2 linked regions of the Caenorhabditis elegans genome follow. The protein of the gene in region 1 interacts with the protein of each later gene in a pairwise test. Each region holds a gene or a part of one and is shown in the gene's direction. Other genes may lie near its edges.

Region 1 (7,790 bases):
TTTCCGCGCAGGGTGGCCGTCCCCGTCCCCCAATCTATCTTTCCACATACACCGTAGCAGCAGCAGCAGCAGCAGTAGCAGCAAAAGCACCCTTTCGCAAGGGCGCTAGACCGGTTTTTCTTTCCACAAGGCGGGCGGGCGCGCGCGCGGCGAGCGCTCGTCCCAATGTCCTCACTTTTATCCTTCCACCCCTCCTCCTCCTGTCTGGCCCTCCCCTTCTCCCACTATCACCACAGTCTGGTCTCTCTCTCCCACGTTGTATTTGTGTGTGTGTGTGTGTGTGTGTGTGTGTGTGTGTGTGTGTGTGTGAGTGTGTGAGCGCTGTTAGAGCGAAATGGAAAGTGAAAAAGGTGAGAGCGAGGAGAATTCAGAGAAGCACACAGAAAATGTGGGGGGGGAGAAGAAAGGGCTGTTTCTGTCTGGCCTGCAACGCGCCGCAGCCGCACGGTTAGGGCGCTGCTACGCGTCGCGTCGGCAGGCGCGCTTTCGATCTCTCCCCTCTTATTCCTACCGCCACCCCGCAAGCTTCGCCTTCGCCGCGCTGTCTAATACGCTTTCTATCCGTCCATCTCTCTTTCCATATCTCTCTCTCTCCGTCTTTTTGATCCATCGCTACGTTGTTCTGTATACAACGCAGAAAGACTACGTGAAGGCGACGCACTGCCGCCGCAGCAGTCCCCAGCAGCAGCAGCATCCTTTCCTTTCTGTTTCGCCCTCGTTTCCGCATCCATTGCTTTTCTTCTTCTCCATCTCTTCATCTTTCACTTTCCAAACTGTTTCTTGTACGATTGCACTTTCGTTTCTATTCCCTCCCCGTCGGTTTTTCGCTTTCCCTCGTTGTTTCTTCGAACCTGACTTGACTAACTAGGGATTTTTTTTGTTTTTCTATATAGTGTTTTTAGAGTTTTTATAGCGAAAATTTGAAAAAAAAATGAATGCTTTAAGTTTTTCGCCTTTTTTCGAGGTTTCAAAGGTACCTTACAAACGCCTGTTAAGTTTTCTGATCTAAAACATAAAAAAATTATGTAAACATTTGAGACATTTCTGATATAAAATGTTTATACGCAGCATAAGAAGTGCATAAGAAATTTTAATTTTTGCCTAATCAATAATTTTTTTGTTAAATTCATATCCTTGAAATGTTTCATTCAAACTTTTGATTTTTGAACTTTTGCGTACCCTCATCATTGGGAACACAACCCATTTGTACCTGTTCCACAATTTACCTAAAGATCAATTTTCGCATTTATTTGCCCAGTCAGTAACGTGATGTTTGTTTCTCCCCCCCCCCCCCCTTCTCCACCTTTCCTCTTATTCTTGGTTTTCCCCCCTTCTCTTTTGCGTACTATTTCGGATCATCACAAAGGTCGATTTTCTGCACCTCTGCGCTTCACCATCCAACATGATATCTCTCTCGTTCGCTCGCCCAGAAGTCATTTCGAACTGATTTGCCAAAAAGAGGACGCGCGTGAGATAGAGGAAAAGGGAGCGAGCGCAGAAGCAGCGCGAGGTGACAGAAAAACGCCTGAAAACACGTTTTCTTCTGTCGTTCCCCTCCCACTTTCCATTTTTTTTTGCCGCAAGGTTAGATTGCACACGTCAGATGTAAGAACAAAGCACTTTTGTGTGTGTATGTGTGTGTGCGTGTGTGTGTATGGTGACTGTCCCTGTCCCTGTGTGTGAGGCCATTTGCGCACTTGGCACGAAAATCTAGTTTTTCAACGCATTAAAAAGTGAGATAGAGAAGCAACAAAAAAAGAGACACCAACAAGAAAAACTTTATCTCTTTCACTTTTTTTTCACTGTTTGCGTTCGTTCCGTTCCTTGTTAGGGGGAACTTCAATGAGGGGTTTACGTAGACTTTTAGTGCAAGTACTTTCTCTGTTTTCAATTTCAACTGTTTTCAATCTTTGGCTCAGACTTATCAGTATTCTATTTTGTGGCTCGTGTTTCTCTCACGTGACACTTTTCCTCTCCTCCTATCTTTGCCAAATTTTTTTTTCTGATTGCTTCATTTGACTCTTCGTTTTGGCGTATTTCTAACCAAACTCGACTCTCTGATTTTTGCCACGTTTTAGCTGGAGGGTGTCTGTCCCGATTGTGCAGAGAGGTGTATGGCGACAATGTCAAATGATGCCGCCGCTGCAGCAACCTGGCACAACAACACGAGCACACCGATGGACACCACCGAACCAGCCACGAACAGTCATAATCCCGGTGAAACGGCGGTGATCGGTGGCCCAGAGGCCCTATTATTACCATCTGGCAGCGGGCCAGAGGAAATGAATAGGCACCCTCTGTTGATGGCGCAAGCACACGGAGAACACCATCAGCCACGGCTGCTCCATAATTTTCCAGTCATACCTCCACCTATACAGCAACACCAACAACCTCCTCTATTACAACAAGCTCAACCTTCTCAAATACCACATCCAACTCAACCCCAAATAGACCCCACAATGTTCACACAACAGTCTGGATTCAATTGGCCGCCCATAGACCCGAATACAATAGCAGCGTTGGCTCAGGCACAGCTAGCATCTTCTCATGCACAATTTGTGTCGTTGGCTTTAACGCTTGATCCAACGCTATTATCACATTTTTTGGCGACACAGCAGATACCTCCAGTTCCGCAGCCATTAGTGCACAAGAAAGGTGAATAAGCGGGGTGGCTTGGCAAAAGGTCATGAAAAGTGAAAGGCTTTTCGAACAAAAAAAAACTTGATTTTAATCGCGCCAGTAGTCAGGTAGTAAAATGCGCTTTACGTCAATGTCAGAGCGATTTGAAATCTAAAGTGCAAAATTCACAATACCAGATTTATGAATTGTGAATAATATATATTCAAATTTTCAGCGGAGATGGAACTTCGTGTCGGCAATCGTTTCCGCCTCGGTCGCAAAATCGGAAGCGGCTCGTTCGGTGACATCTACTTGGGTCAAAATATTCAAACAAATGAAGAAGTGGCGGTGAAGCTGGAATGTGTCAAATCCAAACACCCTCAGCTGCACATTGAATCACGGCTCTACCGCATAATGCTCGGAGGCATTGGAATTCCAGAGATTCGGTGGTGCGGGCAGGAAGGTGACTACAACGTTATGGTGATGGAGTTACTAGGCCCTTCACTCGAGGATCTGTTCAACTTTTGCCAACGAAAATTCTCGCTGAAAACCGTCCTGCTGCTTGCCGATCAAATGTTGTCTCGTGTGGAATTTATTCATTGCCGAGATTACATTCATCGCGATATTAAGCCGGATAACTTTTTGATGGGTCTTGGAAAGCGAGGAAATCTGGTCTATGTAAGTTTTTCTTTTGTGAGGGATTAGCCAGCCTACTATGTTGTGCCTTTTTTTGCAGATTATTGATTTTGGACTAGCGAAACGCTATCGTGATAGCAAACATCAACATATCGCATATCGGGAAAATAAGAATCTAACTGGAACTGCAAGATACGCCAGTATAAATACTCATCGAGGAATTGGTATGTTTTTGAAGTTGCATTAACAGTGAAGCACTTCAAAGGTGGAGTAGCACCAGTGGGGAAAGTGTTAAAAACTACTCCTATGGAGCCGAAATGAGCGAATAACAAAATAAAACTTTTCAAAAAAAAATTTGAAAATTTTTTATTTACAGTCAAAAAGTGACAAATACTTAGTTTTTACCACTCATAATTTTGAAAGTCGACCAAAAACACATTTTCCTACATTTTTTATAATTTAAATTTGTTGTAATTATTGCGACATTTCTTTGAATTTCCTCAAAAGCTTATGTGTGTTTCAAAAACTTTGGCAATTTGCCAAAACTTTGACCAGAAAATTTAAAAAAAATCTAAAATTTTTTGAAGTGTTTTGTTATGATATTCGGTCGTTTTGGAACATTATAAGTTTATTTAGCAAAAATCCCCTCTAGCGCTGCTCCACCTTTAAAAATGAAACGCAATATTTTTACAGTAACAGTAAAAATCATGATCCTATAATTTTTTTTTGAAAATTTGATAACCATTTCTTCCAACCCAAAGAATAATCCATTATTCGCCCATTCACACGTGGGGTTAGGTTGTCCCATTACGGTTTGATCTACTAAAAATGGGGGAATTTTTTGCCCAAAAAATGTGACGTCAGCAGGCTCTTAACCATGAGAAATCAGTTGAGAAGCCTGCGTCTCTTCTCCCGCATTTTCCGAAGATCTACGTAGATCAAACCAAAATGGGGCACGCTGACACCACGTGCATTCATACAACTTTGAATCAATTTGTTTTTTTTTCAGAACAATCACGAAGAGACGACATTGAGTCTCTTGGCTACGTGTTTATGTACTTTAATCGTGGAACTCTCCCGTGGCAGGGACTAAAAGCTGTCACAAAGCGGCAAAAGTATGAGCTGATATCAGAGAAGAAGATTTCGACGCGAGTTGACGACCTGTGCGCTGGCTACCCCGAGGCGTTTGCCCAGTACCTCAACTATTGCCGTAGTCTTGGATTTGAAGAGCAGCCTGATTATGGTTATTTGAGAAATTTGTTCCGCACGTTATTCCATCGGCAACAGTTTTGCTATGACTACGTGTTTGACTGGAATACATACAAGTGAGTGTTTCCTATTGATTTTTCTATTGATTTGCAAAGATTTTGAAACAAAAAAATATAGAAAATGGAGAAGAAAACGAAGGCAATCCCCTAATTTTTCCAGATTTGACTTGCCATTTTAACTCAAATTCCCCTCAAAAAAAGGTTTCTCACACACGTTCTGTTGTGATGTGTGTGTGTGTATTTTTCTTTGTTGTTTTGTACTTCTTCTTTCTGCTATTTTAATTTTAATATTTCAAGCTGTTTTCTTTCTTGCTTAGAATTTTGATTTCATCATTTTTTCATAAACTATAGCTTATTTCCGTTGGTGTCTCGTCACTGTGATGTTGCTAAACCGACGAGTGAAACAAATAGTATGTAGTGGCTAGATGATAATGCTTTTGAACGAATAACCGGTAAACTAGCGGTGTACTTTGCTTTCATTTTTCTACATTCACCAAATAATACAAAACTACTGACACGCTTTGTGTTTTTACAGATTTCGTCGCAACTGAAACTGATCGCATTGTGTGTCTGAAAATCCAAATAAAAACATACTATCCTAAGAATAGATTTGAACTGCCAGAGGTAAGAGTTGAGCACCACCACCACCGCACGTTTCCAATTTGCACCCGTTTTAACCAATCACTAATTTGGATTTTTGACTTTTTTTTAATTTTGAAAAAATCGAAAAATATCTCTAGTAACTAAAAACAAATTAGTCTTGCATACAGCAAAAAAAATATCTTCAAATTTTTTCCTATATAAAGCTCCGCCCATATCTTGGTTTTTTGGAATATTTTTGAACACGTACACTTTTTCGTTTTAAAGGTGGAAAAGCGCCAGTAAGAAAATGGGAGCAGAAATTGATAAAAAACCACTCCTATAATACAATGCCAAAATTGCCAAATATCATAGTAAAACGTTTCAAAAAAGGATATTGAAAATTCTTTTATTGACAGTTCCAAAGTGGCATTTGCCCCAGGTCTTGCCGCTTTTTTGAAAACGGCGGATCAGAAAAAAATTTTTGCTCCGAATTTTATGGCCTAAATTATTACTTGTGAATTGTAGGGATTCAAGAATGCGACAGTGCTCTAGTTTTGGAAATTTTAAAAGTGGAAAAACTTACGAATTGCCACTTTTTGACTGTCAATAAATATTTTTCAAAAAATTTTCCGAAAAGTTTTACTACGATATTTGGTTTTTTTTGGCACCATAGAAGTGGTTTTTAACAATTCTCCCAATGGTGTTACTTCACTTTTGCAACATTTTCAACCCAAAACTTTGAAAAGTTCACTTAATATTCCCCAACGAGTAATGTACTTATCTGTTTTGAAAAAAATGCCTCAATTTTTCACGAAAATTTAGTTTTTTTTTTGTTTTCCCTGTGTTTTCCTTTGTTGAAAATCTCGTAATTGGAAAATTCAAATTGTTATTTTTTAAAAATTTAAATTACAATTTTCAAATTCCCTGCACTCACCGTACTCGAGCAACTTTGATTCCAGAATTTCAATTTTGCAGATTCTACAACGAAAGTCTGGAGGCTCGGAACAATTTCCAGCAAGCGGTACCAAATCAACGTCGACATTAATTGTATCATCTCCTTTTCAAGTTTGTGCTCCATTTCCTCTTTAATATCTCATTTCTTACCCCCGTTTTGTGATACTATTCATGTTTCATTTGCCTCTTCCTTTTCTCCTCCTTCCTGTCTCTTTTTTTCCTCTGTGTTTTTTTGTTGTTTTCTTAAAAACAACAACAACAACAACAACCTGTTTCTAGTATTTCACTTGCAACGTTTTCTTCCATTTCTCTCTGTTCATTTTCCTCGCTCTGTCATTGATCTTTGTCTCAGTTTTTTCGGATGTATATTTTTACTTTTTTGACTTTTTTTTGTCTTCTTAATTGTTCCAGCTTAACAATCGTCTCTTTCTCTTACGAGTTTGGGTTTTTTGAACTTTTTTTCTAATTTTTCCAATTCATCGTTTACTTCTTTTCATATTATGAATACAATATACTAGATCATAGGATTTTGAATAAAAAACTGCCTTCATCCTTTTCGGACTATCTCTCTTACCTTTCTCACTGTTTCTTTTTTTCTCTCACTCGCTCCCCTCAACCTCTCTCTCTCTCTCACTCTCACTCAATCTGTCGCAATTAAAAGAATATATATATATATACATATAATATATATATATATATATATAACTTACCTCATTATATTGTGATTTAGGAAACAGTAATGTAACTACCACTTTTTTCTAATTTTCCCCCCTCAATCATTCCTTTTTGCGCAGAACGTTTCCAAAAAAAAAAACCAATTCTTGGCAATGCCGTGTGTCGTAAATGTGTCCTTTTTAATTTTACTTTTTCCTTTTTACACTTTTTTTGAAAATTATTGATTAATATGGTGTTTTTTTAATTCTCAAACGTCGCTTCTGCGGGTGAAGAGACCTACTGTATCAAACTTGATCCCCTCAATCCCCCCTCGCCCCGTCCCAATTCCTTTCTTCTCACAAAAGTTCACCTTTTATTTTTGCAGACTGGTAAAATGTATGTTTTGTCATTTTCTTTAATTCCTTATCCTTCTATTTTTTTGTTGTTCAAATGATTTCAAAAAAAAAAACAATTTTTTTCAAGCAAGCATTTTATATGTTGAGCAAATGTATGAGAGCACACTACACAGGTTGGGCGGAAGTGAACATTTAAGGGGATGGGTCAAATTTGAAAAAAAAACAACAACATACATAAGAACATATAAATTCTATATTACAGTAAGAATACGAAAATTGTTAATAGATTGCAATGGCCTTGTTTTGTAAAAAACACATCATTTGAAAAAAATTGTTGCATCAACTACACAAGTGCAAGAGTATTTAATAAAATCCATGTAAATTCAAATATTGCTGTTTTCCTAATTTTTACCTACTACTACCGGTTCAGAGAGTGGTATCAGTTGCAGAAACACAGACATCTTGGGATGTTTCCCAATGGGCGGGGTTGCGGGAAGAGCCGATTTGTGTGGATTTACGGAACGCTTTATAAATCGACACAAAATGGTTTTTCGCGCGCCCGTTCCCTTGGGCCTCGAGATGCATTGGTTTTTCAACTGACTACAATCTCTAGACCGGTGATATGACAAACGTTTGAAAATTTTTCAAAACATTTTATCTTGATATTTTAATTATTCAGTTTTAAGATAACTTTAGCATTTTTAAAGTAACAAATCCAACG
Region 2 (4,887 bases), on another chromosome or scaffold:
GTAGTATCATTCTTCGGTTGAAGAGCAGACATTTCATTCTCAAGACGATGGATTTCATCCAACATCAGTTTACGAACAATTTCATGTTCCGACTTCAGAGTTTCAATTTCAGAGTTGGAGAACACCTAAGAAAAAATATAATTAATTTTCAGGCAAGATATTAACTGCATTACCTCTTTGTTGATCGTTGTCTCCAATTCCACATACTTCATCTGTAGTGTCTCAATGTCTTCCTTAGCCTTTTGCAGTTGTTCATCAGCCTCCTCTTTCATTTCTTGCAACTCCACAAACTTTTTTTCGTAGTCCTCAATGCTGTGTTGCATGACATCAACCTTCAGTGCTTTGTCAGTAAGCTCTTCACAACGACTCTTCAACTCTTCCAACTGATGTTCAAACTGTAGTTTCTCTCCGTTCGGCTCCGTTAATTTCATCTCGAGCTCTTCAATCCGTTTCTCAAGAAGTTGTTCCAGAGTTTTTGCAGCTTCGCGCTCAGATTTCGTCTTTTTTACAGCCTCCTCCACTTGTTGCATGAGCATTTTCTCTTCAACTTCACGAGCTTCTTTAATTTCAACAAGAGTTTGTCTATGTTTCTCTCCAAGAAGTTCAATTTTCAATTGAAGATCTTTAACGACTTCATCATGCTCGATATTTTTCTCCAGCATTTCGAATTCATATCTGAAATAAACAATTTAACAATGGGAATAAATTTAAATTAATCTTACAAAGAATATTCAATTCTCGATTTTTCATGCTGAGATGTTGACTGAACTGACTCTACAGAAGTTGACTGCACAACCTCACTCTCGATTGGAATTTTCGAACGAAGTGGGGAAGGAGCAGTTGGTGTACTTTCGTCTCCAACTTGTGTCTGGCTCCGAAGTGGTGTTGACGGAGTATTCTCTAGATCTTGAATCGTTGCTTGTTGGAAGAAGTCGTTCGCCAGTGTGACGTCACCATCAGTCGCAAAACTCTCGTCAGCAATGCTACAGTCTTTGCTGATGCTGTCTTCACTGTAAACCTTCGTTTGTTCCAAATTAGGATCGACATCATGAGCTGAGGAAGCTCTTGGCGGTTCACAGACACTGTTATCATCAACGGAGGTATTTGGCGGGGCGAGTGTGGAAAAATTGGAGATTGAAGAATCATCAAGAATAGAGTCGGAGGTACTGGTAGACGAATGGCGCGAGTCTGGCTCAATGCGAGTTTCTTCAAGATTTCCATCGGCCAAATTCATAGCAGAACGCCCGAAAAACCTTTTCGATTCCTTTCCGAGACGCGATTTCGGTGTCGCAGCAGAAAACGGAGATTCAAGCTGTTGTCGCTTCTGAAATTGTTTTGCTTTTGATAAATACAAAAATATTTAATTTACCTTCCCAGTTGCAGGCTTGTTTTCATCGCCGTCGTTTGTACTTTCCTCCATATTGAATTTGATCAAATTCGTCTGAGAATTTACGATAATGAGTTGGGGAATTGCACTATTGAAAAAAACAGTCCACGTTTAACGAAATAAAACGAAGTGAATCTGGAACTTCACGAGAAAATAATAATTTTCAACAAAACAATACAAAAACTGGAGCAATCGTTTAAAATTTCGCGCCGTTTCAATAGGGCGAGTTTGTATTTGCAATGCAAATTCGAATATATTCGATCCAATCGAACTCTATATTTTGCTTAATTTTTTTTGCGGAAGGAATTTATTTTTAAACTTTGTTCGTTTCCTTATTTTTAGTAAGTATTAGTGAATTCTTCATAATATTATCACAAAAACGTTAGCAATATATTTTAAATATTGTTAAATATCCATCGAACCACTGAAATAACGTGCGCAGGCTTTCAGATATTTGGGAATGAATATCGATAAGGATGTTTCAGCTCTGCTATGTACGGCGAAAAAATATGTGACGCAGAAAGAATTCAACAGGTATAATTATTAAATCTTATCTTAACTTTTTTATTTTACATTTTCAGACAAAAAATGAAATTCTTGTTAGATGACATAACTAAATTGTTATCGAAATCTTTCGTTTCCCGAATCGAGCAGTTAGACGAAAATGAGTTCATGGAAAAGATGTGAGTTGGAAAATGTAGAAGATGATGATTATATTTATGTTTTTTCAGAATGATCCTTCAGAGTATAACATTTACATTACATTTAATAACAGAGAAGCAGGAACTTTCTTCAGGTAGAAAATACAATTTAGTATTTGTATTAATATATTCGTTCCAGAGGAAAAAATAAGATTATTTCAATCAGTGATTGCGTCGATGTGTGCCTTTGAGGATGAAGAATTGGCAAAATGTTTTGACGTTAGCAAGAATTATATTCAATAATTCAATGTTTTTTATTTATTTCAGCGAATTCTATCAGTACTGATGATCTCTGTGACGAAACAAGACCCGAGAGAAACTATTTATTTCCTGCAAGGATTACTGGAAGTTGTTAAATATTGTGACGTCGAACCTTCGTCTTCTCTGCCACAATTAATCACTCCTGAAATTGCTTCAGCTATTTCATTAGGTGCCTCAGGATTTTTTAGATATCATTTGAAGTGGAATATCATTTCAACTTTATTCGGAGAAAACGCAGGAGAATGCGTTCATTTCGATGAATTGGTTCTGTTTTGGCCTCACTGCCGATCACAGTTGGAAGACAAACTGAAAAATGATTGCTCGATGACCGAAAATTGCTTGCGTGCTGGATTGACAATCTTAAAATATAAAAAACTGCACAATTCTATTCTTGATCAGGCCCTGTTCATTGATGAACTGTTTGCCACATTTAACTCATTAACTGCGAAGAAGTCGACCAATCACATGACGTTTCCAAAGCTATTGAATGTAATTTCATTTTTATACTTCGAATGTATAATTTATCAATTTCAGGAGATACAACACTTTCTACAGGATCATGGCAAAGTTTTGATTATGCATAAAGAACTTCGACAAAAACCAGTTCAATGGCTCATAATTTATTTAGAGTTAATCGATGATGCAAATGACAAGTTTGGACTACTAGAAAACTTTTCCTTGTTGTTGTTAGATTTATCGACAAACCATGATATACATGAGTTTCCTGCGAGGCTATGTATGACAGCAAGTGAGATTTGCATGGTGAGTTAATTAGAATATTAAACAATTAAATCTCGGAATTGTTACAGCGGCGAATCAAACACTCTATTCAAAGTACACACACTGATTGCCTTGCTGATTACCTGGACATATTGGCGTCTCTGCTGAAACTTGCTCGAATTCAGAAACTAGACATTTTTCAATGTTTTGCCACAGAGATTGAGGCTCATCATTCCCTCAACAATCCGCTTTGGCCACGAATTCTTAGATCTCTACTCAGTGTACAGAATCCTCATTGCCAGCAATTCTGCAAGAAATTCGTCCCGTCTATAGACAAATTGTGGATCACATTATTGAATGGCGAGTCATCGAGAGCTACTTTAAACTCTCTTGTCATTGTGACTGCGTCTTGTCCATTTGCCAACAATAACGATGAAGGAGTGAAACAAATTATTCCATTTTTATTGATTCCTTGTTTCCAGGATTTTCGTGATCGAGTTGGCTCAAAATGGGACAACTTCAGATTCATTGGTTTACCAAAATCGGAGCCGTCAGAATTAATTAACTTGGAACGATTCACTACAGTTCTCGAGAGGAGCACATCGGAATCTACAAAATTGCGAGCTGTAAACTGTGCTCTTCAACTTGAAAAGAAGACGGGAAAGTATATCAATCTGGTAGCTGAAATGTCGCTTGCAGTGTTTTCGAAATCTCAAACCGACCGGATTGCAAATAGCTTCGAACCGCTTATTCTGTTTTTGACAGATAATCTTCAGTTGATTAATGACTTTATCACTATTCTCATCGCGAAGTTATGCGAAAAACAAGAATTCTATAGTGAATTAACAATATTGAAGTATTTCAAGACTTTGCAAAAATTATTCTGCCTGGCTGCAAATGGAAGAAATTCTTGCAAAAAGTGCGGAGAAGAATGTTTTGTTGATCCGGATTCAAAGGAAAATGTCAAAATCGATTATGAATCGCTTTCTGGTTTGATCAAAGGAATTGTTGCGAGAAGAAATACGTTTTCTCAAGAACTAATTCGAGAGTTCCTGCAAACTTCCCGTGTAATGCTATTACACGTCGATTCGAAAGGAATTGCTTCCTCGTTCACATCAATTATTAAAGCACTTGACATTGGATTTTCAGAAAATGCCAATGCATACTTGTAAGTTTACACAAATACAAATAATCCATCTGTAATAATTTCAGTCGTGTCTGGGAACTGGTATGCTGTAGAAGTGAAGCCACCGTCGAGAAGAAACTACAGATGTATATCCCGCTCATCGGCCGTTCATTTGCTCTGCTTGGAGATGACGCTGCTTTGAAAGTTCATGGCTTTTTAAGCAATGTGTTATCCGCAAGATTGTCAAGTACAGTCAAAGCTACGCTCTTTGCTTCTTCGTTTGCTCATTCCGTGCTCAAAAATTGTGAAATCGATTGGAATGTCTCATATACCTGGAAAACACAATTCTCTCAGTGTTTGATAAAAGCACCAGTAGGCACATGTGAGGAAGCACTTCAAATTATGTTCAAACGATATTCTACAATCTTCACTCGATGCTTTTTAAACCGACTCTTCTTTGATGCTTCTTCAGCTGGAGCTCAAAAACCAAGTTACGATGAACACAGAATTCGAGAAATCACAAGATGTTATCTATCTCACGTGCTAAGTGATTTCAATTTTCCGAATCAGAAGATCACATTCAACATGATTCGTCCAAGTCTTCTCTACTGGTCGTTGCTTTCCAGTGCTCGCGGAATAAACTCGAAGCTTACACTTTCTGTTATCGACTTTATCTGCCAAGAAATGAGTGC

Evidence for each region.
Region 2: the proteins of kin-20 (region 1) and atl-1 interact in a two-hybrid assay, tested with the Caenorhabditis elegans proteins (2 studies listed by BioGRID).

Annotation. Positions count from the first base shown.
Region 1 is NC_003284.9:15,268,017-15,275,806, reverse strand, and holds kin-20 (Casein kinase I), read left to right. Parts: upstream 1-2,067; 5' UTR 2,068-2,114; coding exon 2,115-2,655; intron 2,656-2,854; coding exon 2,855-3,297; intron 3,298-3,355; coding exon 3,356-3,479; intron 3,480-4,264; coding exon 4,265-4,580; intron 4,581-4,683; coding exon of another isoform or gene 4,684-4,702; exon of another isoform or gene 4,703-4,724; intron 4,725-5,058; coding exon of another isoform or gene 5,059-5,074; exon of another isoform or gene 5,075-5,147; intron 5,148-6,080; coding exon 6,081-6,150; 3' UTR 6,151-7,191; downstream 7,192-7,790. UniProt on the Caenorhabditis elegans protein: Essential serine/threonine-protein kinase that regulates diverse cellular growth and survival processes including Wnt signaling, DNA repair and circadian rhythms. Casein kinases are operationally defined by their preferential utilization of acidic proteins.
Region 2 is NC_003283.11:9,642,415-9,647,301, reverse strand, and holds the start of atl-1 (Serine/threonine-protein kinase ATR), read left to right. Parts: upstream 1-1,827; 5' UTR 1,828-1,847; coding exon 1,848-1,921; intron 1,922-1,968; coding exon 1,969-2,070; intron 2,071-2,118; coding exon 2,119-2,183; intron 2,184-2,227; coding exon 2,228-2,307; intron 2,308-2,355; coding exon 2,356-2,838; intron 2,839-2,883; coding exon 2,884-3,111; intron 3,112-3,158; coding exon 3,159-4,237; intron 4,238-4,281; coding exon 4,282-4,887. Other genes in the region: hcp-2 (HoloCentric chromosome binding Protein), read right to left, coding at 1-125, 174-675, 723-1,324, 1,370-1,420. UniProt on the Caenorhabditis elegans protein: Serine/threonine protein kinase which activates checkpoint signaling upon genotoxic stresses such as ionizing radiation (IR), ultraviolet light (UV), or DNA replication stalling, thereby acting as a DNA damage sensor.